Stegostoma tigrinum: one gene and its partner. The protein of the gene in region 2 interacts with the protein of the main gene of each other region in a pairwise test. Links are inferred from orthologs where the notes say so. Each region holds a gene or a part of one and is shown on either strand. Other genes may lie near its edges.

Region 1 (10,923 bases), on a different chromosome or scaffold from region 2:
AAGCTGGCAGACATGGTGAGAGGAGAGCTTGAGGATCCTTTATGTGATGCCTTCTCTGGCTGTGTGCCTACTGGCGCTACACTTTCTCTTTGTGAGGAAGGGCACCTGGAGTGAGAACAAGGTTCCCCATCCTCCTGTCACCTTGCCATTCATACTGGGCACCAATGGCTGTGGTGAAGAAGTACAGGCCAGTTGTGTATCCAGCAGACTCTGAGTCTATGCTGGGCCTGACCTTACCAGAGCAGCCACAGAGCTGTCCATGGAGGCTGTCAGATGATCCCAGACCTGAGGTAGCCTGGTCCCCATGGTGTTATTGGATCCCTGCAGCTGTTGTGCTGTGGTATCCATTGCCTCCCATAAACCTGCCAGCTGCTCCACTGTTGCTTGTGCTTTTTGACAAAGTCTCTCATTGCTGACACCATAGTGTTCTCTCTGGCCTGGGGCTAAATAGTTGCCTGGGCTTTGCAGTCCTGCAACTACCAGTGACTTGGGGCCTTTCTTCCTGAGAGTGGCAGTGATGAGTTCACTAGTGGGTACCCCTGACTCTAATTTAGATAACATGCCCAGCGAGGGGTCAGTATCTGATCTGGGAGAAGGTGCATGAAGCAGCCTAGCCAGTTCTTTCTCTGAGACATCTGTGCTCTCTTCCTCAGAGTTGCTGAAGGCAATGCCATGCAGGGAGGTCCCCTAGACCACAGCTAACATGGACTTAACACTGGTACCCGCAAGACACGAATAAGAGAGTGTCACGATCAAGGTTATAAATTGTGGTAGGTATAAAAGACATTGACAGGAGGGTTAATGTGAGAGTTGCTCTACAATGAGTGATGATTCTTAACATGATGGACTCTACATCTCTGTGGAACCTGTCCCAGTCCTATCCTGCAAAGCTGAAAATCCTACCCTCCTGGTGGTTGAGGAGATAAATGTCGGGTATCATGCAACTCACCTGGCCCTCTCAGTCTATTAAGGACCCTTTACTCCTGCAATGAGAGAGGCGGAGGGACTGAGCGAGATGGCATTGGGTGGCACAGCTGCTAATGCTGGACTGGTGGGGCGTCGGGGTTGGGCGATGTGGTGAGGTGTCCAGAGTGAGAGAGCTGGCAATGTGGGACCTGCAGGGTCTGTAGTCTAGGGATATTGGGGTGGAGGAATGTGAGAGAAGAAGATGTTGCATGCTACATTCAGAATGTAAGCATGAGGCTTGTTGTGAGGTGGGTGTTGCAGCAGAGACAGAGCGAATGTGATGTAGCAGAAAGATGATGGCAATTACTGTGGGAACGGAGAATATCATTGACCTTCATCCTGCGTTGCTGTGTGTTCCTCTGAATCATGGGGAGAATCAGATACAGGAGCAGATTTAGGCCATTGAGCCCATTGAGTCTGCTGTGCCAATCATTCATTGCTGATACGTTTCTCAAACCCATTCCCCTGCCTTGTCCCTGTAACCCTTGATCCCATTACCAATCAAGAACCTATCTACCTGTATAAAAATACATTCAATGACCTGGCCTCTACAGTCTGCTGTGGCAATGAGTTCTATAGATTCAGTACCCTCTGGCTGAAGAAATTCCTTCTTATCTGAGTTCTAAAGGGTCATCCCTTCATTCTGAGGCTGTGCCCTCAGGTCCTAAGCTCTCTTGCTACTGGAAACATTTTCTCTATGCCCACTCTATCCAGGCCTCTCAGTATTCTGTAAATTTCAATAAGAGCACCCCCTCATCCATTGACTACCGATCCAAATTCCTCAACCACTCCTCATATGGCAAGCCCTTCATTCCCGGGATCATTCTTGTAAACCTCTTCTGGACTCCCTCCAGCACATCCTTCCTTAGATATGGGGCCCAGAACTGCTCACAATATTCCAGATGTGGCCCCACTAGACCATTATATACTCTCAGCAGTACATTCTGACTCTTGTATTCTAGTCCTCTTGAAGCGAATGCTAACATTGCATTTGCCTTCCAAACTGCTAACTGAACCAGTATGTTAACCTTGCAAGAATCCTGAGCTAGGACTTCTAAGTCCTTTTGTGCATCAGATTTCTGAAGCCTTCCCTCATTTCGTAAATATGCTATGCTTCTATTCTTCCTACCAAAGTGCATGACCTCACACTTTCCCACACTGTATTCCATCTGCCATTTATTTGCCCACTCTCCTAGCCTGTCCATGTCCTTTTGCTGCCTCACCACCTCTTCAGCACTGTCTGTCCCTCCACCAAGCTTTGTGTCATCTCCAAACTTAGCAACAATGTTCTCAGACTACATTGATCCTGGTGATGACCTCAGATCAAGCTGGCAGAGTCTGGTGGTGTGATCACATCTGGCAATCTTGGGGAAAGAGGATGTCCCCTCTTGTATAGAATTCATCAACCATGACCTCAAAGTCCCTGTCAGACACTACGTCCACTAAATTGTGTACAGCTTCCAGAATGCCAGTGTTTATCCACGTGCACAACAGCCTTTTAAAAATGGCACTTATGCCAGGGATAGCTGGCAATATTAAGAACTGGGGTAGTGTGATGGGTCAATGAGTGGTACTGCTGCCTCACAATGCCAGGGACCTGGGTTTGACTCCAACCTCAGGTGACCGTGTGGAGTTTACACATCCTCCCCATGTGTCTGTGTGGGCTTCCTCCGGGTGCTCCACCTTTCTCCCACAGTCCAAAGATCTGCAGGCTAGGTGGATTGGCCATGGTAAATGTGGGATAATGTGGATAGGGTAGTGGGGTTGGTTTGGGTCAGATATGCTTCAGACATGCTGGGCTGAATGGCCTCTTTCTGCACTGTGTGGATTTTATGATTCTGGTTACAGTAAGTGGGAGAATTTGGATAGCATCAGATGAGCGGGCATACTATGGGTTCAGGATCAGTAGTTAATGAAGCAGTTTGGGATGGTTGTGTGTGAAAACTCTCCAAAATTAGAGAAACACTCCAAATGGAAAGGCCCTGGGGAAAATTGATGCACAGAGAGATCTGGGTGTTCAGGTCCATTGTACCCTGAAGGTGGCAACGCAGGTCGATAGATGGGTCAAGAAGGCATATGGCATGCTTTCATTCATTGGATAGGGCATTCAGTTCAAGAGTTGGCAGGTCATTTTACAATTGTATAGGACTTTGGATCGACCACATTTGGAATACTGTGTACAGTTCTGGTTGCCACATTACCAAAAGGATGTGGATTCTTTGGAGAGGGTGCAGAGGAGGTTCACCAGGATGTTGCCTGGTATGGAGGGTGCTAGCTATGAAGAGAGGTTGAGTAGATCAGGATTATTTACATTAGGAAGATGGAGATTGAGGGGGAACCTGATTGAGGTCTTTAAAATCGTGAGAGGTATAGACAGGATGGATAGCAAGAAGCTTTTGCCCAGAGTGGGGGACTCAATTACTAAGGGTCATGATTTCAAGGTGAGATGGGAAAAGTTTAAGGGAGATATGTGTGGAAATTTCTTTATGCAGAGGGTGGTTGGTGCCCGGAATGCATAGCCAGCAGAGGTGGTAGGGTCAGGGACGATAGCATCATTTAAGATGTATCTAGGCAGATATGCAAATGGGCAGGGAGCACTCGGATGCAGATCAATGGAAGATAGGCAACAGGTTTAGATAGAGGATCTGGACCAGCGCAGGCTTGGAGGGCCGAAGGGATTATTCCTGTGCTAGAGTTTTCTTTCCTCTTTGTTCTTGATATTCAGCAAAACTGACATTTCACTGAAACACTGTTAGATTCAGCCCTAAGTGTCTTTCTCTCTTTCATTGGGTAAGGGGCATTGTCGAAGTGAGGTCAGGTCCTGTGACATAAAGTTTGGATAGGATTGACAGTCCTGAAAAACATGTGGACCACATGAAAGCTGCAACCTCACAAACGGGACAGGAGCAAACCGTACCCTCAGAACAACTAGAAAGGCTGTTGCAACCCATGCGTTCTCTCCCTCTTCAAACATCAAAGAAACCTTGGAGTCTGAGATAGACATAGCAGATGTCACAGCCTCGATGCGTTTACCACCTGAAGAACAGGATTAATCTCCTCCGAGGTGCTCCAGGTGCAAGAGACAGATTATAGTCTGGAACGTGCTGCCCATATCCAAGGCTGCGTCAGAGAAATTAGACCCAGTGCAAAAACATCCCTGCAGAGGTTACAAGAAAAGGAACAATCCTAAATCCCCAGACTTAGATGGGGAGGGATGTAGTGATTGTCATGAGGTCAACCAGGTGGACCTCATAGAATATTGTTCGCTGATTGGGGCTGTTAACTTTGTCCAATCAGGGAGCCCTGGCTGACAGATATAAACAGGAGTGTCAGCAGCTCTGCTCATTTTGTGAGCTAGCTCTGAGGAATTTAGACTGGTGTCAAGTATTGTGCATATGTAAATGAGGAGTGACTTAGTGACAGGACACTGATCTCTGGAGTTATTTCACTTTCCTTTCTTTATCCTAACCTCTGAGGATGAATATCTGAACATTTTTTCCTTAGTCAGGTTTCTCCTGCAGTGACAAACTTCAGCCTCCACCAAATGATGGTGATACCTTGTCAGTGATACTGTGCCACTCTATTGAGGTAAATGTTCATCATCAAATAAGCTCAGGCATTGAGCTGTCACTGCATGGGTGTTAGCAGCCTACAGCTTATGGGATCTAAAGGTTTGGCTGAGGATCTCCAGATCCAATTGAGTTAGCCCAAAGGTGAATAGTAGAATAACCAAGAGTTACTGGTTTGTCCACTGTTTGCCCTGATTTTTGGGGTTATGCTGAATATCTACTAACTTAAGTATCATCTTTTATGATGCTGATGATTAATCATCCTCCTCCAATCCTCACTCCCATTTGAGGTCATAGGTCAAAGCAGACCACTTGCTGCTGAACAAAGATGATGGCTGTAAATAATATCAAAAAACAGTCTATTTGCCTAGACTGCAGTTTGCATGGTGGCCTTCTTCACCAGACACTTGTGTGTAATCCAAGCCAATACTTGCAATGCTGTATTGAGGCAGTCCTGCACTGTTGGACAGACTATCCACTTGTCCCCTCAATTGAATGTAAATTATCTGTTGCTTTTTTTTGATTTAATACCATGGGAGTTCTTTCCATTTCTTTCCCCCCACCCAGTATGCTGTTGTCAACTAACCTTCTAAAACCAGATGATCTGGCCATTACTGTATTTTTGTGTGTGGGGTCTTGCTTGTGCAATATGGCTGCTGTGCTTCAGTAGTTCTTCAAAACTTGACAAGTACTTAACTTGTTGGGTAGTGTTTTGGAACATTGGAAATTGTGAAAAGTGACAAATGCAAGTTGTTCTTTCACATTGCTTTCAATCACAATTGCTACAGTGAACGTGGACACTGCCCAGTCCATTATGTCTGCATCAACTCTCCAAAACAGCATTGTGACTTAATGCCATTTTAAAACATTGCACATTGTTTCTATTCTTCTAATGCTCTTTTGAATGCCTTGCTTGAACGTCACTCCTTTGCACTTTCAGGCTCTGCATTCCAGGTTCATCTTTCTCACCATAGCTTAAAGTTCCAAACCTTTTTGAATCTTCCACGCAGTTTTTAATCCTTAATGTCTTTTGCTTGGTACACCTGCTCTTCCTGTTTAATGTCTCGATGCCTTTTCTCTCTGATTACACCCTGGTCCTTGCCTACCTCCTTCTGGGCTTCCCCCTCATGTCAGCGGATCGAGCATATTGTTTCTGGATTCTGCTTCATGGCTCAACATCAAATTTTGTTTTATTGTCTTAATTCTTCTCTTGACCCTGTTCCACATTCCATCCTCTCTCTCCAGATCGCAGCCTCTGTTTATTTACTGATTTGAGATCCTTTTGTTTGAGGTTTACTGAGATGTTTCCTCAAAAAATTATGGCTTTCACAATCTCTCGTGTGGTTTTAGCTGTGGTGCAGCAAGTCCTGACTGAGTCAGAATGTCATGAATTCAAGTCCCACTCTAGATGCTTCAGCACAATGACCAGCCTGATATAACTGTGCAGTTATGCGGTGAAGTGATGGCCTTATAGTATTGTTGCTGGACTGTTAATCCAGTGAGCCAGGTATGTTCTGGGAACTTGGTTTCAAATTCTGCCACAGCAGATGGTGGAATTTGAATTCAACTGAAACAAAGCTAGAATTAAAGGTCTTTTGACCATGAAACAATTATTGGGGTGGGGGGTGAAATAAACCATCTGGTTGATGGTTATCCTTCCCCAAAGGATAATTAATCTACTGTTGATTGCAGGGGGAAAACCCATCTGGTTCACTAATTCCTTTTTGGGAAGGAAACCCCTTTTTACCTACATGGGGCTCCAGACCCACACCAATGTGGTTGACTCTTAACTGACCTCTGGGAATTGGCATTAAGAAAATGTACTAAGGAGCACTGAACTGTCTACACTTCAAAACTTTAGCTGTCAAGCTCTTTGAGCTATTATGAAGGTTACTCTCGAAATCCAAACCTTTCTTTCCAAATGCTTGCCCACCAATCAACTATCGTCACGTCGCGGGCTCCCACAAACAGCAGCCAGTGACCGAGATGAAATGGTTTGATGTTCGCTGATGAGGGGGTAAACATTGGCCCTAGGTGAATGAAAACTGTAACCCAGCGACAATACTGCGGCTTCCTAACTGCTGCCTCGCCGAGCACATGTTGCTAATGACAAAACCCCCTTCACTTTGGTTTTCGAAGCTGCTGCCTACCACATTTTCGTTTGAAAATAAAAGCTCCCCTTTGTTGATGCAGGGCTTTGAGATAAAATCTGCTTTAGCAACTTTTGTTAGGGGAGTGTGTCAATTGTAATGACAGAAATGGCGATGATATGACTATTTGTTTTTGATTTTTGTTCTTTCGGGCCAGTCTGAGAAGAAGCTGGGCTGAGAGTTTCACGCAGAGCAGAGATTTCAGTGGGAGTGGTAGGAGAGACACAGGCGCAGTCTCGCCCTGCAGCGTTGTGTTTAGATTCTCGCTGCCTCATAGCCCTGGAATTCAGGACTCGCCGAGAATTCTGTTTCCGTCCAGGGTTTTTTTTATCCCCCCTTTCCTCTCTCTCGGCTAAAGGTGTAGCGCGTACCCATCAGTCTGCACAAACATTCGTCCCCGCTGATCCGGACAAATGGCCAGTTCACCCCAGAAATCCCCATCCATCCCGAAGTCCCCCGTCCCGAAATCCCCCGGCTCCAGGAAAGAGGATTCCTTCCTGGGTAAACTTGGAGGAACTTTAGCCAGAAGAAAAAAGGCCAAAGAAGGTAATTCTTTCTTCTTTGTTTTTAGAAAAAAAACTTGTTTCATGTAAATTGTTCACGAACGTCCTGAAAATGTTGCCTATTTACTTGAAAGAGAAGTTTGCAACAAGTTTCGAAAACTTTTGCAATTTCAGCTGAAAGTGTTCAACTTGGTTTTGCTTTGTGGCTAACGTAACAGCTTCTAAGGCTGCAATGTGAGTGATTTACTCCCTTCATTAAATACTTCATTGTTTTGCAGCCTAAAAGTGGATTTTTGTTTTGTGGAGTTCACAGTTAAGTTCTGGGCTGGGTGTAGCTGGGCGTCCTGTGGAATGTTTTCCGGTTCAGACTCATTTGGTTGGCAATATAAGTTCTGCGGTTGAACTCGAAAGCATTTTCCGAACACCACCCACCCCCCTCTCGTTATCTCTCTGTGCATTGCACAGTTATTGATCAAACACCAAGGTTAAGACCGCAACTCAGGCGGGAGCTGCTTATCTGCACCTTACAGGGGGCAGGTATGCAGGAGTAAGCTGGATTCCTGTCTGCAGGGAAACCACGCCATGTAACAAAACCAAACCCTAGAGCAATAGAATTTCCACTGGCAATATTACACAGCTGTTGTTATCGTGAATGAAAGAATAATGTGTATTTTTTAAATTTTGAATCTTGACTATCTACATTTGTTGTCGGAAATTTAAAAGACAGTACAGGAAAGCCATTCAACCCCTTTTAAGGCTGTTGAAATCATGTTACAACTGCACAAGACATTGGTAGGGCTACATTTGGAGTACTGCCTACAGTTCTGGTCGCCCTGCTGGAAAGGGTGCAAGCATTTTTTTAAAAGGATGTGACCGATACGGAAGGTTTGACTTACAAGGAGAGGCTGAGTAGGCTGGCTCTGTTTTCTGAGCACCCTTAGAGGCTGAGGGGTGACCTTGTAGAGGTTCATAAAATCACGAGAGGCCTAGATAAGGTGAATAGCCGAGGTCTTTATCCCCAGGTTAGGGGGGGAAAATTAATAGGGACCAGGGGGGCAGCTTTTTCCACACAGGGGGTAGTGCATATATGGAATGAGCTGCTAGAGGAAGTGGTAGAGATGGGTACAATTAGAACATTCAAAAAACATTTGAACAGCTATGTGCATAGGAAAGATTTAGAGGCATACAAGCCAAACAGGGGCAAATGGGACTAGTTCAATTCAGGAAACCTCATCAGCATGGCTGAGTTGGGCCAAAGGGCCTGTTTCAAGGCTGTATGAGCCTATGATTCTAATTGGAGTATGGCTGATCCCACATGCTTAAGTGGAGAAGACTTGTGTGTTAAGTAGTGGTAACTTGAGCCAAATGACTGCTTTTTGCCCTGTGTACTTGCTGTAATTCTTCAATTCCATTAGTCTGTCTTCCTGTCCATGTTCTACCTTTGTGTGAGTTCTCTTCTGCTCAGGATTTGGGTATACTTGACTTTGTACTGAATCCATACAGACCAGGGTGCACAGCATGATCTGCTGTGCCCACTGTTTACACGGCTGGTATGTTAATTGGCACTTCAAGCGGTCGTGCCTCGGCTCAAAAATTCAACAAGTAGAAATATAGTTGGGCTGCGCTGAGAGCGTGTTTCTCACAATACTGTTGTTGTTGTTTGACTGCTGCACAAGTTATGCAAGACCTTTATGAAACCCTGCTTGGGCCCATCCTGGGCTCAATCCGTAATTGTTTGAGAGAGGTAAGTGGTTATAATTTTGGGGGGTCACCACTCTGCATCAAACATGGCTGAACAGAAACCTAACCCACTCTTTACTGCCTACATTTGATTACCAACCTACATGACCATGTCACAAATGGTGTTTCAATGGTCAACAAGGTCAATGGTGGATGTTAACTCTGAGCTTATGGCTCAGACAGATATCACCAACTGACATATAACGCCCTGTCCTCAGCTGGTGTATTGTGCCCAGTTCTGGAAAATGATGTCCAAGCCGTTGAGAAGATGCAAAGAAGATTTTATGGAAATAATGCAAGTGATGAGATATTTGTTTTCATCTTTAAGATAGAGGTCTGGAGAGTAGGTGAACAGGAGACTTGGTAGAGATTTTCAAAATCAGGAATTTGATAGGGTGCATTTCCTCTTGTAGGAGGGTCAGTAGCTTGGGGACACAAAAACATTAAACATGGTTCAGAGATAATAGGAACTCCAGATGCTGGAGAATCCGCGATAACAAGGTGTGGAGCTGGATGAACACAGCAGGCCAAGCAGCATCAGAGGAGCAAGAAAGCTGATGTTTCGGGCATAGACCCTTCATCAAAAAAACGGGTTTCATTTGGAATGCATTGCCTGAATGGGAAGTGGAAGCAGATTTAATAGTAACTTTGTAAAGGTGGTTGAGTATTCAGTTAAATGGAAAAGCTCTCAAATCTGTGGGGAAATAGTGAGGTGTTGGGGGAGGGAACTATTTGTGTAGCTCTTTGTGACACCACAGAATAGACTAAATGATTGTGCTCTCAAGTTGCAAGGTTCAGTGATTCTTAATCTTGCATATTTCAGCCTGTTGTAGAGATGAATCCCTCTTGCAGAATTAAATCCTGATGTCCGCAGAGGTTTGTTCTTGATCATTCTTTAAATGTCATTTTTACCAGAGAAGGGAGGGGCTAGGTGGCAATTCAAGCTGAAAACATTTTGTAGGATTTTCACTCAGACCTCTCAGTTACCTGTTTGGACAAATGAGTAAGAGACATAGAATCATAGAATCCTTAGAGTGTGGAAACAGGCCCTTTGTCCCAACATGTCCATGCTAACTCTCACAGCATCCCACCCCCATTCCCCAATAACCCACCTAATCTACACATCCCTGAACGCTACAGGCAATTTAGCACAGCCAGTCCACCCAGCCTGCACATCTTGGGGCTGTGGGAAGATATGGAGCACCCGGGGCAAACCCACGCAGACACGGGGAGCATGTGCAAACACCATACAGACAGTCGCCCAAGGGTAGTATCGAACCCGGGTCCCTGGCGCTGTGAGGCAGCAGTGCTAACCATTGAGTCACTGGGCTGCCCCGATTGTCCGGGCCAATTGTCAAAATTTGGCTACTTCAATTTGACAAATATTTGCTTTATTATTATGGAGGTTAGTGGGAGGGTGTCTCCTCCCTTCACTCAAAAGGTCATGAGTTATAAGCTCTACTGTAGTGAGTTGAGCACAAAATTTAGACTGCTATAGTCCAGGATGGAGGGAATGCCATGCTGGCCTGAGGGGCATGGGGGCACATATTTTTGAGAGGAGAGAAATTTTAAAAAGTCACAAAGGGCAAATTTTTCAGAGTGGGTGGATCACGTGTGGAATGATCTTCCTGAGGAAGTGTGGATGTGGGCACAATTACAATGTTCAAATGACATTTGGATACCTATGTGAATAGGAAAGGTTTGGAGGGATATGGGTCAGGAGAAGGCAGGCGGGACTAGTTTAGTTTGGGATTATGTTTGTCATGGACAGGGTCTATTTCTGTACTGTATGACTGAGGTATTAGGGAATTGAGGGATGTCGGGAGCAGGCAGAAAAGTGGAGTTGACACAATCTCTCTCACACAAATGTATACAGAATTAGAACTGCAGTAGGCATTTCAGCCCCTCGGGTTTGCTGCACCATTCAGTTGGATCATGGTTGATCTGTTTTTGTTTTCAATTCCGTATTCCTGCCTGATAAGAATCTAACCACCT
Region 2 (11,552 bases):
ATTAATTGCCTCATCTGAAAGTTAGTATCTCTAAGTTTAGCACTCTCATTTGGAAAGCATATACATTGATTTTGAACTCAAGTTTCCACAGTTGATTTACGTTATTTATTTAGATTATCAAGCTGTCAAAATAAAACATTTTGGCATTGAATTGGGAGGTCAGAGGACAGAAAAGTGGAGTAGGTGTGCAAAGAATGGATAAGCAGTTTCAGTTTATTCTGGACACTTGCAAGTTTGAATTTCACTCACTTTAGTCAAATTTGGTAACTGGATTTTTGCTTTGCCTATTGGTAAATTATTAATCCCAAATAATACGAAAGATACAGCCACAAATGGTTTGAGTGCTCAGTGAGTCAGTTCATTTGTATTTTTCTACTTTTCTGTAAAGATACATGCATTAGGCTTCTCTGCGCTCAGTGCAGCATACCCACGCATACTGCAAGTGGTACACATTAATATATAAGGCATTTTTTTTGCAGACTTTTTTAATCTCAAATTATCTCTTTTGCAACTGATCAAAATAGGCAACAGCCATTGTCTGGTTCATTTCTCAGGGCAAATCTTTAACTGTGTAGATTCAACTTGCCTGGTTTAGATTTAAATAAAGCTTGATAGTTAACGGATAGTCATTATGTAACTGATGCATTCCCATCACAATGACTCTTGCCAGAGACCACTGCCAAGTACTCATTATGCTATGCTCACAGAACATAAAAAATGTTGTTCACTTTTACATTTGTAGTTTTGCAAATTTCCAGATGCATGCAAGATGAAAAGCTCCAACAGAACATGCTTTTCTTCACCAATAATTTTGTAGATTCACTCTGCTGTTGGTGGCAAATGCCTGAACAAAGTATTTTTCTAGTGGCTAGTGTATGGAGTTCATTAGATAACAAGGTGTAGAGCTGGATGAACATAGCAGGTCAAGCAACATCAGTGAAGCAGGAAAGCTGACGTTTCGGGCCTAGACCCTTCCTCAGAAATGCAGTTCATGTCCACAGTAGCTCTATAGGCATTGAAACTGTACAGTGGGCAGACTCAGTCTGCAAGCAGATACAATCTTAGCATTCCCTGAGCAATATCTTCCCAATGACACTAAAGGGTGGGTTGTCCCTGTTTGTACTGCAATCTCCTGTCACCTTCGTTTTTATATAGTGTGATAATCTCACGTAGAATGGAGCCTACTTTCCAGCAGAGAAAGTCATAAAAAGTCACCCTAGATGAGAAATTTCATATTTGAGCAATTCAGCTGGGATTCCATGCTTTACACATGCCTTGCTATTTGCAAAGCAGTACAGACCTGCATGAATTCAAGCAAAGGGATTTCTCATCTAATTTATCCATGACAGGAAGCTGTAAGAGAATGTCAAGCATGGAGTGGGCAATGATTGTTTCACAGTCATTATCAGCTCATCTTTACCTGTGTCAGTGACTACTTCACCTTGCGCCGATTTCGGAGAATTCCTTCATACCGAGCTTGTTAATGTCCATTGTCTCATACAACTGACTGAGGCTTATTGGAACAGAATCTCTCTCTTTTGTATGATTGTCTTGGTTACTTTCAGTGTCAAGTACTGTTTAATTGTTGCATTTATCTTGTAGATCACGTAGGCTTTCCATAGAATTTCCATAGGATCCCTACAGTGTGGAAACAGGCCCTTCGGCCCAACAAGTCCACACCGACGTGTGAGCCCATCCCAATGTAACCCCACTAATCTACACATCCCTGAACACTATGGGCAATTTAGCATGGCCAATCCATTTAGCTTGCACATATTTGGACTGGGAGAGGAAACCAGAGCATCCAGAGGAAACCCACACAGGCAGTCGCCCAAAGGTGGAATCAAACCTAGGTCCCTGGCACTGTGAGGCAGCAATGCTAACCACTGAGTCACCATGCCACCCATAAAGACGATGTTTCACTGTGTTAACCAGGCTGCACTGCAACGTTTATTCACAGGCGCAATCTGACTACTGATGAGCATCGGGCTTTGACATGCTCAGTTTCTGACCTTGAACAATTCACTCCTCTTTACCCGATCTGGTGATCCCGATTCCTCCAGGGACACCATACCGATGCCCAACTTAGAGAGGACACCTCATCAGTATAGTCCACAGCAGTCCAGAACTCTTGGTCTCACGCAATTTACATCAATAGTAGATGTCATCTCCATTATGTAGATCTCAAACCATTCTTTCTTGTGCTTCTACCTTTACTAAATTCTAAACAGTTCCCTGAGAGAGTGGATGACTTTCTTTCATTTCAGACATGTCAGTCCTGAGGTGACTAAACAATTCTGAATTGCATACACCATCACAAAGTGGGCATATGGTATTTAAAGAGGTGGGTAGATGGACGGTCAGGCTTTTGCATGCTCCTTCCACAGTTTGCACTTAACCCACACCAAAACCTAAAATGCTTTGTTGATTGGCATTTTTACAAATATTTCTTCTGCAGTGTGGGCAGTCTTGGTCAAGAGATTCCCAGGTTCTGTAGCCATTGCAATTTTTTTTTAATGAGTTTTTAAGGACATGCTTGGAATGTTTATCTCTGCCCACCCCCCCGCAAGTAATTGCTTGCCTTGACTGAGCTTGAAGTGGGAGGTTTGGTTTAATAGCCTTATATCAGGCATGATGACAACGTGACACACCCAATGCAGCTGACTAAAAGTAAGCAGTGCTTCTATGGTGGGGAGAGAGATAATGGAAACTGCAGATGCTGGAGAATCTGAGATAACAAAGTGTGGAGCTGGATGAACACAGCAGGCCAAGCAGCATCTTAGGAGCACAAAAGCTGATGTTTCAGGCCTAGACCCTTCATCAGAAAAAGGGTAGGGGGAGCGGTCTCTGAAATAAATAGGAAGAAAGGGGGAGGCGGGTCGAAGATGGATAGAGGAGAAGATCAGAGGAGAGGAGACAGACAAGTTAAAGAGGCGGGGTAGGAGCTAGTAGAGGTGAGTGCAAGGTGGGGAGGTAGGGAGGGGATTGGTCCGGGGAGGACAGACAGGTCAAGGGGGCGGGATGAGGTTACTGGGTAGGAAATGGGGGTGCGGCTTGGGGTGGAAGAGGGGATAAGTGAGAGAAAGAACAGTTAGCGAGGTAGGGATGAGCTGGGGTGGGGAGTTGGCCCAAGAGAGGAAAACCTATTGTGTCAATAGATTTGCAGAATTTTGCAGGGGCGTCACAGTGACAATTCTCTGGGATTCTACTCAAAAATATATGTATGTTTAAGAGATAACAAAGTGTGGAGCTGGATGAACACAGCAGGCTAAGCAGCATCTTAGGAGCATATGCCTCCAACAGATACAGAAGGACATGCAAGATCAATACCCCGCACAGCAAGAGGCTAGTGCCAGGCTACGCTGGGACATTACGGACATGTTGAATTTCATGATGATAGCCCTTTTGAACGAAAGCTCCGAAGTGGGTTGATGTGCGTTGCGCAGTGCTCACTATGGATCTTGATCAACAGGGAATGGAGATGCATTGCAACATCAGGCTAACAGAGGATCAATGTCCTCTGATTGGTCAGCACAAATCTCATGCTCTCATACACCTCATGCATCAATAATAGTCTGAAGGTCAGCCTCAGAGTGTATGCTCAGAAAAGCAGCGTCTGCGTACTGCAGCTTAGTGACAGAGGCAATCTAGGCCCAAAATGTCAGCTTTTGTGCTCCTAAGATGCTGCTTGGCATGCTGTGTTCATCCAGCTCCACACTTTGTTATCAATGACAGAGGCTGCTGTGTTCTAGGTTCTGAACCGGAGGTCCCATCCTGTAGAAAAGCTTCCCTCCAGTGGGGATGTTTGTGGATATGACGTGGAGTATTGCGAAAGGTAGACAAGAGTGTTGTGCGATTGCACTGGCATTGTTTAAAATAAGCTTGCACACATACCATCTTAATTTATTCCAGTTTTTTCCCCAACCACTGTCAACTATTTTCTGATATTATTATTGACATGATCGCCTGCAAAATTCTCATACCCCAAAGATACATCTGGAACATTACTATTTTTACAAAAGCCTAAAACATCCAAATTTTTAAAAAAATCAAATTCCATGGCACAACTTTAATTCTATCAAATCCAAAAGGTCTTGGTCACTGCAGCATTAGCCAACGCAAAGATCAAACGATGCTGCCATGCTCTACAACAGCTGTATGTACTCTAGATCTCATCATATCCTCCAGAACCAAATATATCTTGTTTACCGCCTTCTGTACTGTCAGCTTCTGAAGTGAATCCACGGTTGACCAAATGCAGTTATTTACAATGCGCACAGATATATGCACTGGGATATGGGGGAAGGAAATTAAGACTGAAACCCAGCTGGTCCCGGGATCAGTGTGGAAGGGGAAGGTCATTCCCAGCGGTTCCCCGGAACAGTGCCAAAGACCGGGCCTTTCGCCCTTGCTCGGTCGGTTACCTGTGAGTCTACTGAATTCACGGGGCCGTATGGCTTCGATCGCTCCCCCGCACCCCTGCTGCTCGAAAGCTGCTGTAAACAGCTCCAGGCTGCTGCGCTCCGGCGGTGTCGCCTTCCCCTCCATTTGGTGTCAGCTGCGAGCCGGCTTCTCGCCACAGATCAGTCCCAGGATCGGGGGCCGTGCCGCGACTCCTCCCTCTCCTCGGCCTGGACCCGCCTGCGTGTGGGCAAAGAGATAGACTCAGAGTCCTTGAACCGGGCGAGGTAAAGGCGACTGTACAATCATTGACAGACACCCAGGCCGAACGGCAAAACAATTATAACCGTTAAAAAATAATTTCAGGACCGGTAGCCAAAGTCTCGCTGGGGTCATGAGGCTCCAGGTGAGGAGGTTATCCATTCATAGATCGGAAAGTTGAGTTAAGGATTGTCAGATCAGTCATAATATCGTTGAATGGGTTCAGAGATAGTCGGAACTGCAGATGCTGGAGAATCTGAGCTAACAAGGTGTAGAACTGGACGAACACAGCAGGCCAAGCAGCATCAGAGGAGCAGGAAAGCTGACGTTTCGGGTCTAGACCCTTCTTCAGAAAAGGGGGAGGGGAAGGAGGTTCTGAAATAAATAGGGAGAGATAATGTGTGAGAATCCCCCTCGTCCTCACATACCACCCCACCAACCTCCGGATACAACGCATCATCCTCCGACACTTCCGCCATCTACAATCCGACCCCACCACCAAAGACAATTTTCCCTCCCCATCCTTGTCTGCCTTCTGGAGGGACCACTCCGGGACTCCCTTGTCCGCTCCACACTCCCCTCCAACCTCACCACACGCGGCACTTTCCCCTGCAACCGCAGGAAGTGCTACAGTTGTCCCCATACCTCGTCACCCTCCCCCAACCCAGGCCCCAAGTTGACTTTCCATATCAAGCAGATGTTCACCTGCACATCTGCCAATGTGGTATACTGCATCACTGTACCCGGTGTGGCTCCCTCTACATTGGGGAAACCAAGCAGAGGCTTGGGGACCGCTTTGCAGAACACCTACGCTCGGTTCGCAATAAACCACTGCATCTCCCAGTTGCGAACCATTTCAACTCCCCCCTCGCATTCCTTAGATGACATGTCCATACAGGGCCTCCTGCAGTGCCACAACGATGCCGCCCGAAGGTTGCAGGAACAGCAACTCATATTCTGCTTGGGAACCCTGCAGCCCAATGGTATCAATATGGACTGAACGTCCATAGTAAAGATGAGGTGTTGGGGACTGGGGAATTGGAAGTTCTGGAGGAGGCACGGACATAGGTCAGGAGTTCCTGGACTTAGGGGAGAAGATGGAGTCGAGATAGGTGGAGATAAGTTCAGTGGGGCAGGAGCAGGCAGAGAGCAGGATTTCACAAGCTTCAAAATCTCCCCTCCCCCTACCGCATCCCAAAACCAGCCCAGCTCGTCCCCGCCTCCCTCACTTGTCCTTCCTCCCACCTATCCCTTCCTCCTGCCTCAAGCCCCACCCCCATCTCCTACCTATTCACTTCATCCCGCCCCCTTGACTTGTCCGTCCTCCTGGACTGACCTATCTCCTCCCTACTTCCCTATCTACACTCACCTTTACTGGCTCCATCCCTGCCTCTTTGACCTGTCTGTCTCCTCTCCAGCTATCTTCTCCTCTATCCATCTTCTATCTGCCTCCGCCTCGCTCCCTATTTATTTCAGAACCCTCTTCCCCTTCCTCCATTTCTGAAGAAGGGTCTAGCCCCGAGACTTCAGCCTTTCTGCTCCTCTGATGCTGCTTGGCCTGCTGTGTTCATCCAGCTCTACAGCTTGTTATCTCCCTCTCATCCCAGCCTCCTTGACCTGACACAACCTGTCCATCTTCTCTCCCACCTATCCACCCCTCCCACCTCACTGACCAAACCTCACGACTGCCTGCCTGCACTCACCTATCACCATCCTACCTACCATCCCCAGCCCCACACCTCCTCTATTTATTTCCCAGCTCCCTCTATCCCCTCCACATTCTGAAGAAGGATCCTTGAGTTGAAACATTACTTTTTCTACTGCTTTGATGGGCCTGGCCTGCTGTGTTCCTCCAGCTCCACACTGTGTTATCCCTGACTCCAGCATCTGCAGTTCTTACTGTCACTCATTGAAACATTAACTCTGCTTTCTGTCCACAGATGATGACAGACTTGCTGTGTTTTGCCAGTAATTTCTGTTTTTGTTTGTGCCTACTTTAGCTCCTGCATCTTATGGCTTTATGGTCTTAGGAACCTTATAAGGCACAATGAGGCATCAGACTACCCATCTCTGAGGAGACCTTGCATTGTGTTGTGCTGCACTACAACCATGCTAAATAAGACAGGTTTTGAAAAGATCCAGCAATTCAAAACTGGGCATACAGGTAGTGCTATGGCTCAGGTGGAGCAGCAGAATTAAAGTATTCAGTCACAATCTGTAACCTCATGGACCAACATATCCCCGGTTCCACCAGTACCGTCAAGCTTGGTCAGTAAACATATAAGAGGACATGGCAGGGGCAGCACCAGAAAAACCTAAAAATGCAAACCCGGAGAAGTTACAGCATAGTATCAGAGATAATGGGAACTGCAGATGCTGGAGATTCCAAGATAATAAAATGTGAGGCTGGATGAACACAGCAGGCCAAGCAGCATCACAGGAGCACAAAAGCTTGTGCTCCTGAGATGCTGCTTGGCCTGCTGTGTTCATCCAGCCTCACATTTTATTAAGTTACAGCATAGGACTGTTTGCCCGCCGAACTGCAAAGTCAGCATACAGTTCAGAGTTCGACAACCATAACCAACAAATCACATCTAAACTCTGCAGTTGTGATGCTAGTTATTCATTCATCCTTTCAACTTGTCAGCCCAGGTCTGGGTATTGTCCAGGTATTGCTGTGTTTTGACAAAGACTGCTTCATTGTCTGAACAATTGCAAATAGTCCTGAGCACTGTGCTTAATCAGTAAACAGCCACACTTCTGACCTTGCAGTGGAAGGAAGGTAATTGATGATGCAGGTTAAAATGAATGAGCCTAGAACACTGCTCTGAGAGTAGAGCTGTTGTCATGCAGTGGTAGTGGCCCTTCCTCGAGACCAGAAGACCTAGGTTCAAATCCTACTTGCTTCAGAGGTGTGATATAACATCTCTGAATAGGTTGGTGAGAAAATATCTACCCTGATGAGCTAATGGCTCTTGTGATGCAGTGATAATGCCCATATCTCAGAACCAAGAGACATCGGTTCTAATCCCACCTAGACCAGACATGTGTCATAACATCTTTGATCAGTTTGGTAAGAAAAATATCTACCGTGAGGAACTCCCACAAGGATGTTCTGGAGTGAAGATGTTTGATGGCCACACATCTTGCTTTGTGCTCGGCATGACTCCAACCAGTGGAGAGGTTTCCTCTGATTCCCATTAATACTAGTTTTGCTAAAGTCTCCTTGATGCCATATTCGGTCAAATACGGTCCGGGGATGAAGAAATCCCAAGTTGAAGGGCAATCTATTTCTTTGTCCCACTTTCACATGAATTACAACAGGGGTCAGCTTGCTGTGGGTGCCAGTCCTCTTTCTTTCCCTTACGACCAATTTTTGAGGCCTAGTCTGTCTCTTTAGTTCTGCTTGTTAAGCGAAATACATAAAATTTGTATTGCTAACTCTGTTGCTTGGCACTTTTTAAAGGTTACTTTTATTAAGTATTCATTTTATTAAATCACCAGTTCATCATGTTGAGATTTTTTTTGACAACTTATTTACTTTCTTTCGTACCTTTTTTTTAAGTTCAAGATTAATATTGTACCCCCCCATGATCTGCATATGTAGCATCAAATCATCTCTGATTTGTAAGAAGTCTAACAAGGTCTCATCTAAGTGCATGTGTGAATTACTTGTCTTTGGCTCTTCAAATGTGCAGCTCTCTGCTGGCCAGTAAAGGTCATTTATTGACAAATCCATGCTTTCTCCAAGCTGCCACATTCTTGAATTAATTATTTCTCTATTTTTGTTTGTTGAGAAAGTAAGATGCCATGATAAAAAAAACTGAGTGAGGCTGGCTGTGTGCCCACTCACAAACAAGAAAACATGACTTGTGTGCCACTCACTAGAATGCAAAGCACCTCAATCACCATTGTGAAATATCTGAAATGTGGAAAGAGCAAGTCACACAAATTGGAAGATTACCTAACATGGGAAGCACAGTGCCACAACTATAGAGACATTGGTTATTTTAGAAAAGTTTGCAAGTTTCAAATGCAGACAGTAGTAAAGTATAATAATCAAAGCAGAACAAGAGGTGGAAATATCACAATACAAGGAAAAGTTTATTTCGAAGAAGTCAACAACTCTTAAATATGGGGGTATCAAAGTAGAAACAAATATGTACACCACAGATCATAAACTAGGGTAAGACTCAGTATCATCAAAACAGCTTATACGGCTTAAAAGATTAAACAGTAGCTATCCTGAATGAAATTATCAGGACCTAGAAGAACACTGGAATAATCTTAGCAAAACGTAGGAACAAGGGAAGAGAAATCATGGAATCTCTTTATGTCATTAAAAATCAAGTAGAATTATCTCTATTAAGCAAAAAAGGCACTTTCAAGCTGAGGCAATGGCCTAGTGGTATTATTGCTGGATGGTTTGGGGATTCAGGTTCAAATCCTGCCATGGCAGATGGTGAAACCTGCATTCATTAAATATCTGGAATTAACAGTCTAATGATGACCATGAATCCACTGTCAATTGTCAGAAAAACCCATCTGGTTCCCTGATGTCCTTTAAGGAAGGAAACTGCCATCCTTACCTGGCCTACAATGTGACTCCAGACCCACAGCAATGGGGCTGACTCTTAATTGCCCTCCGGGCAGTTAGGGATGGGCAATAAATGCTGCCTAACCAGCAATGCCCTCGTCCCATGAATGAATAAAGGAAGCTGAAACAAATGTACAAAGTAGATGGAATTTCAGATGTAGACCAAGAAAGTAAATTTCGAAGTGAATTCCCAAAGTTGTAATCAATCAAGTGAACTCCTTTTCCTCATTGTATTAGTTGAGAAGTCTGAAAATGTATTCTTAACTGTTTACTGAAGGCCTTCATTCACTGGTCATTATACACACTAGCATTCCTACTGTTGTATGCACTATATGATCAAACTATTGGCCTCATGAATATAGCCATCTGCTTGCTGTAAACTGAGCACTGACATTGGCATATCAAAAACCATCTTGCATAATAATGGATACCCTAAGCCAGTCATCATCACAAAACTTTAGGATAGGTCTACATTCTTTTTCCCCTGACCAGAATGCAATCTACCTCAAATTACCTTGGAAGGTGAAGATCTCAAAAATATGGTGAACCTAGCTAAATCATGCTAATAATATAGAGTCATTGAGATCAATAACATGGAAAACAGCCTTTTGGCCCATCATATCTCTACTAGTCAAAAGCAACCACCTAACTATTCTAACCCTACTTTTTAGCACATACCCCATATACGTGTATGCCTTGACATCATGTTTGCTTATCTAAATACTTCTTAAATGTTTTGAGAATTCTCCCACTTCCACTGTTACAGACAGTGAGTTCAAGATTTGCACTGTCTTCATGGTGAAAAAGTTTTTCTTCACATTTCTTCAAAGCTTTTGCTCCTTACCTTAAATCTATGCCCCTGGTCATTAATCCCTCTCTCCAAGGGAGAGGTTTCTTCCTATCTACTCTATCTATGCCCCTCATAACTTTATACATCTTAATCACGTTCCCTTTCAATCTCGTCTGCTGTAATGAGAACAACTACAGTCTTTTTGGTCTGTCTTCATAACTGAAACTCTCCAGCCCAGGAAACATCTTGGTAAAATTTCCTTTGCACCCACTTCAGTGGCACATCCCACCGATAATGTGGATTCCAGAATTGCACACAATACCCTAGCTGCGGCCTGACCAACATTTTATACAGTTCCAGCACAACCTACCTGCTTTTCAACTCTATGCTTTGATTAATATAGGCTATATGATAAATACCTTATGCCTTTTTAACTATCTTATCTATCTGTCCTGACACATTAAGGCACCAGGTGTATATGCACACTAAGGTCCCTCTAATTGTTGGTGTTTCCTCAGGATCCTATCATTTGTCATGTATTCCCTTGCCTTGCCTATCCTGCCCAAGTACATGATTTTACATTTGTCTGGATTGAATTCCATTTGTCACTGATCAGCCAAACTGCTCAGCCCATCTACATCCTCTTGTAGTCTAAGGCTATTATCCTATTTACCACACCAATTTTTCTATCTCTACAAACTTAATGAACAACTTTCTAATTCAAGTTTAAATCACTTACATAAATCATAAACAACAAGGACCCCAACACTGACCCCTGTGGAACCTCACTGGACAAAGACTTCCAGTTATAAAAATACTTCTTAATGATCACCCCCTGCTTCCTCCCACTCAGCCAATTATGGATCCAATTTGCCAAATTTCCTCAGATCCCACGGATTCTTACATTTACTATTGTCTCCCACGTAGGATCTTGTCAAAAGCCTTGCTAAAGTCCAAATAGATTATATCAAAGGCATTGCCTTTTCTACAAACCTGGTCACCTCTTTGAAAAATTCAGTCAGGCTGGTATGACATTATCTCCCTTTAACAAAACAATGCTGACTGTTCTTGATTAATCCCTGCCTCTCCAACGCAGATTAATTCTGTCCCTCAGGATTACTTCTAATAATTTCTTCACCACCGAGGTTAAACTGATTATGCAGCAAATCCAGAGTTGTTTCCCTTTTCTTCCCATCAAAGCTATTTTGCATAATAGATAAATGAATAATGTGATATGAGTTCAGTGTCATCGTGATACTAGGTCTGTAGGCCTTATGTCCTACTGAAAGGTAGACTGCAACAAACACATACCGTTATCCAGTCATATCAGGCAGCATGGCAGTTGTGTTCAATTAGTTCATGCTTGCAAAGCCCAGAAAAGTATATCCACCCATTAGATGTGATTCTGCACTTGCAAGTCGTTTCATAGAACATAGAACAGTACAGCACAGAACAGGCCCTTCAGCCCACGATGTTGTGCCGACCATTGATCCTCATGTATGC

What was found.
Region 1: the proteins of mocos (region 2) and parvaa interact in binary tests that used the Homo sapiens proteins (3 or more experiments, as listed by UniProt). The two-hybrid records come from large-scale screens. The link is inferred for Stegostoma tigrinum from reciprocal best matches to the Homo sapiens genes MOCOS and PARVA.

The regions. Positions count from the first base shown.
Region 1 is NC_081370.1:37,374,858-37,385,780, forward strand, and holds the start of parvaa (parvin, alpha a), read left to right. Parts: upstream 1-6,644; 5' UTR 6,645-7,098; coding exon 7,099-7,231; intron 7,232-10,923. UniProt on the Homo sapiens protein: Plays a role in sarcomere organization and in smooth muscle cell contraction. Required for normal development of the embryonic cardiovascular system, and for normal septation of the heart outflow tract.
Region 2 is NC_081355.1:91,986,395-91,997,946, forward strand, and holds the start of mocos (molybdenum cofactor sulfurase), read right to left. Parts: upstream 4,960-11,552; 5' UTR 4,549-4,959; coding exon 4,425-4,548; intron 1-4,424. UniProt on the Homo sapiens protein: Sulfurates the molybdenum cofactor. Sulfation of molybdenum is essential for xanthine dehydrogenase (XDH) and aldehyde oxidase (ADO) enzymes in which molybdenum cofactor is liganded by 1 oxygen and 1 sulfur atom in active form.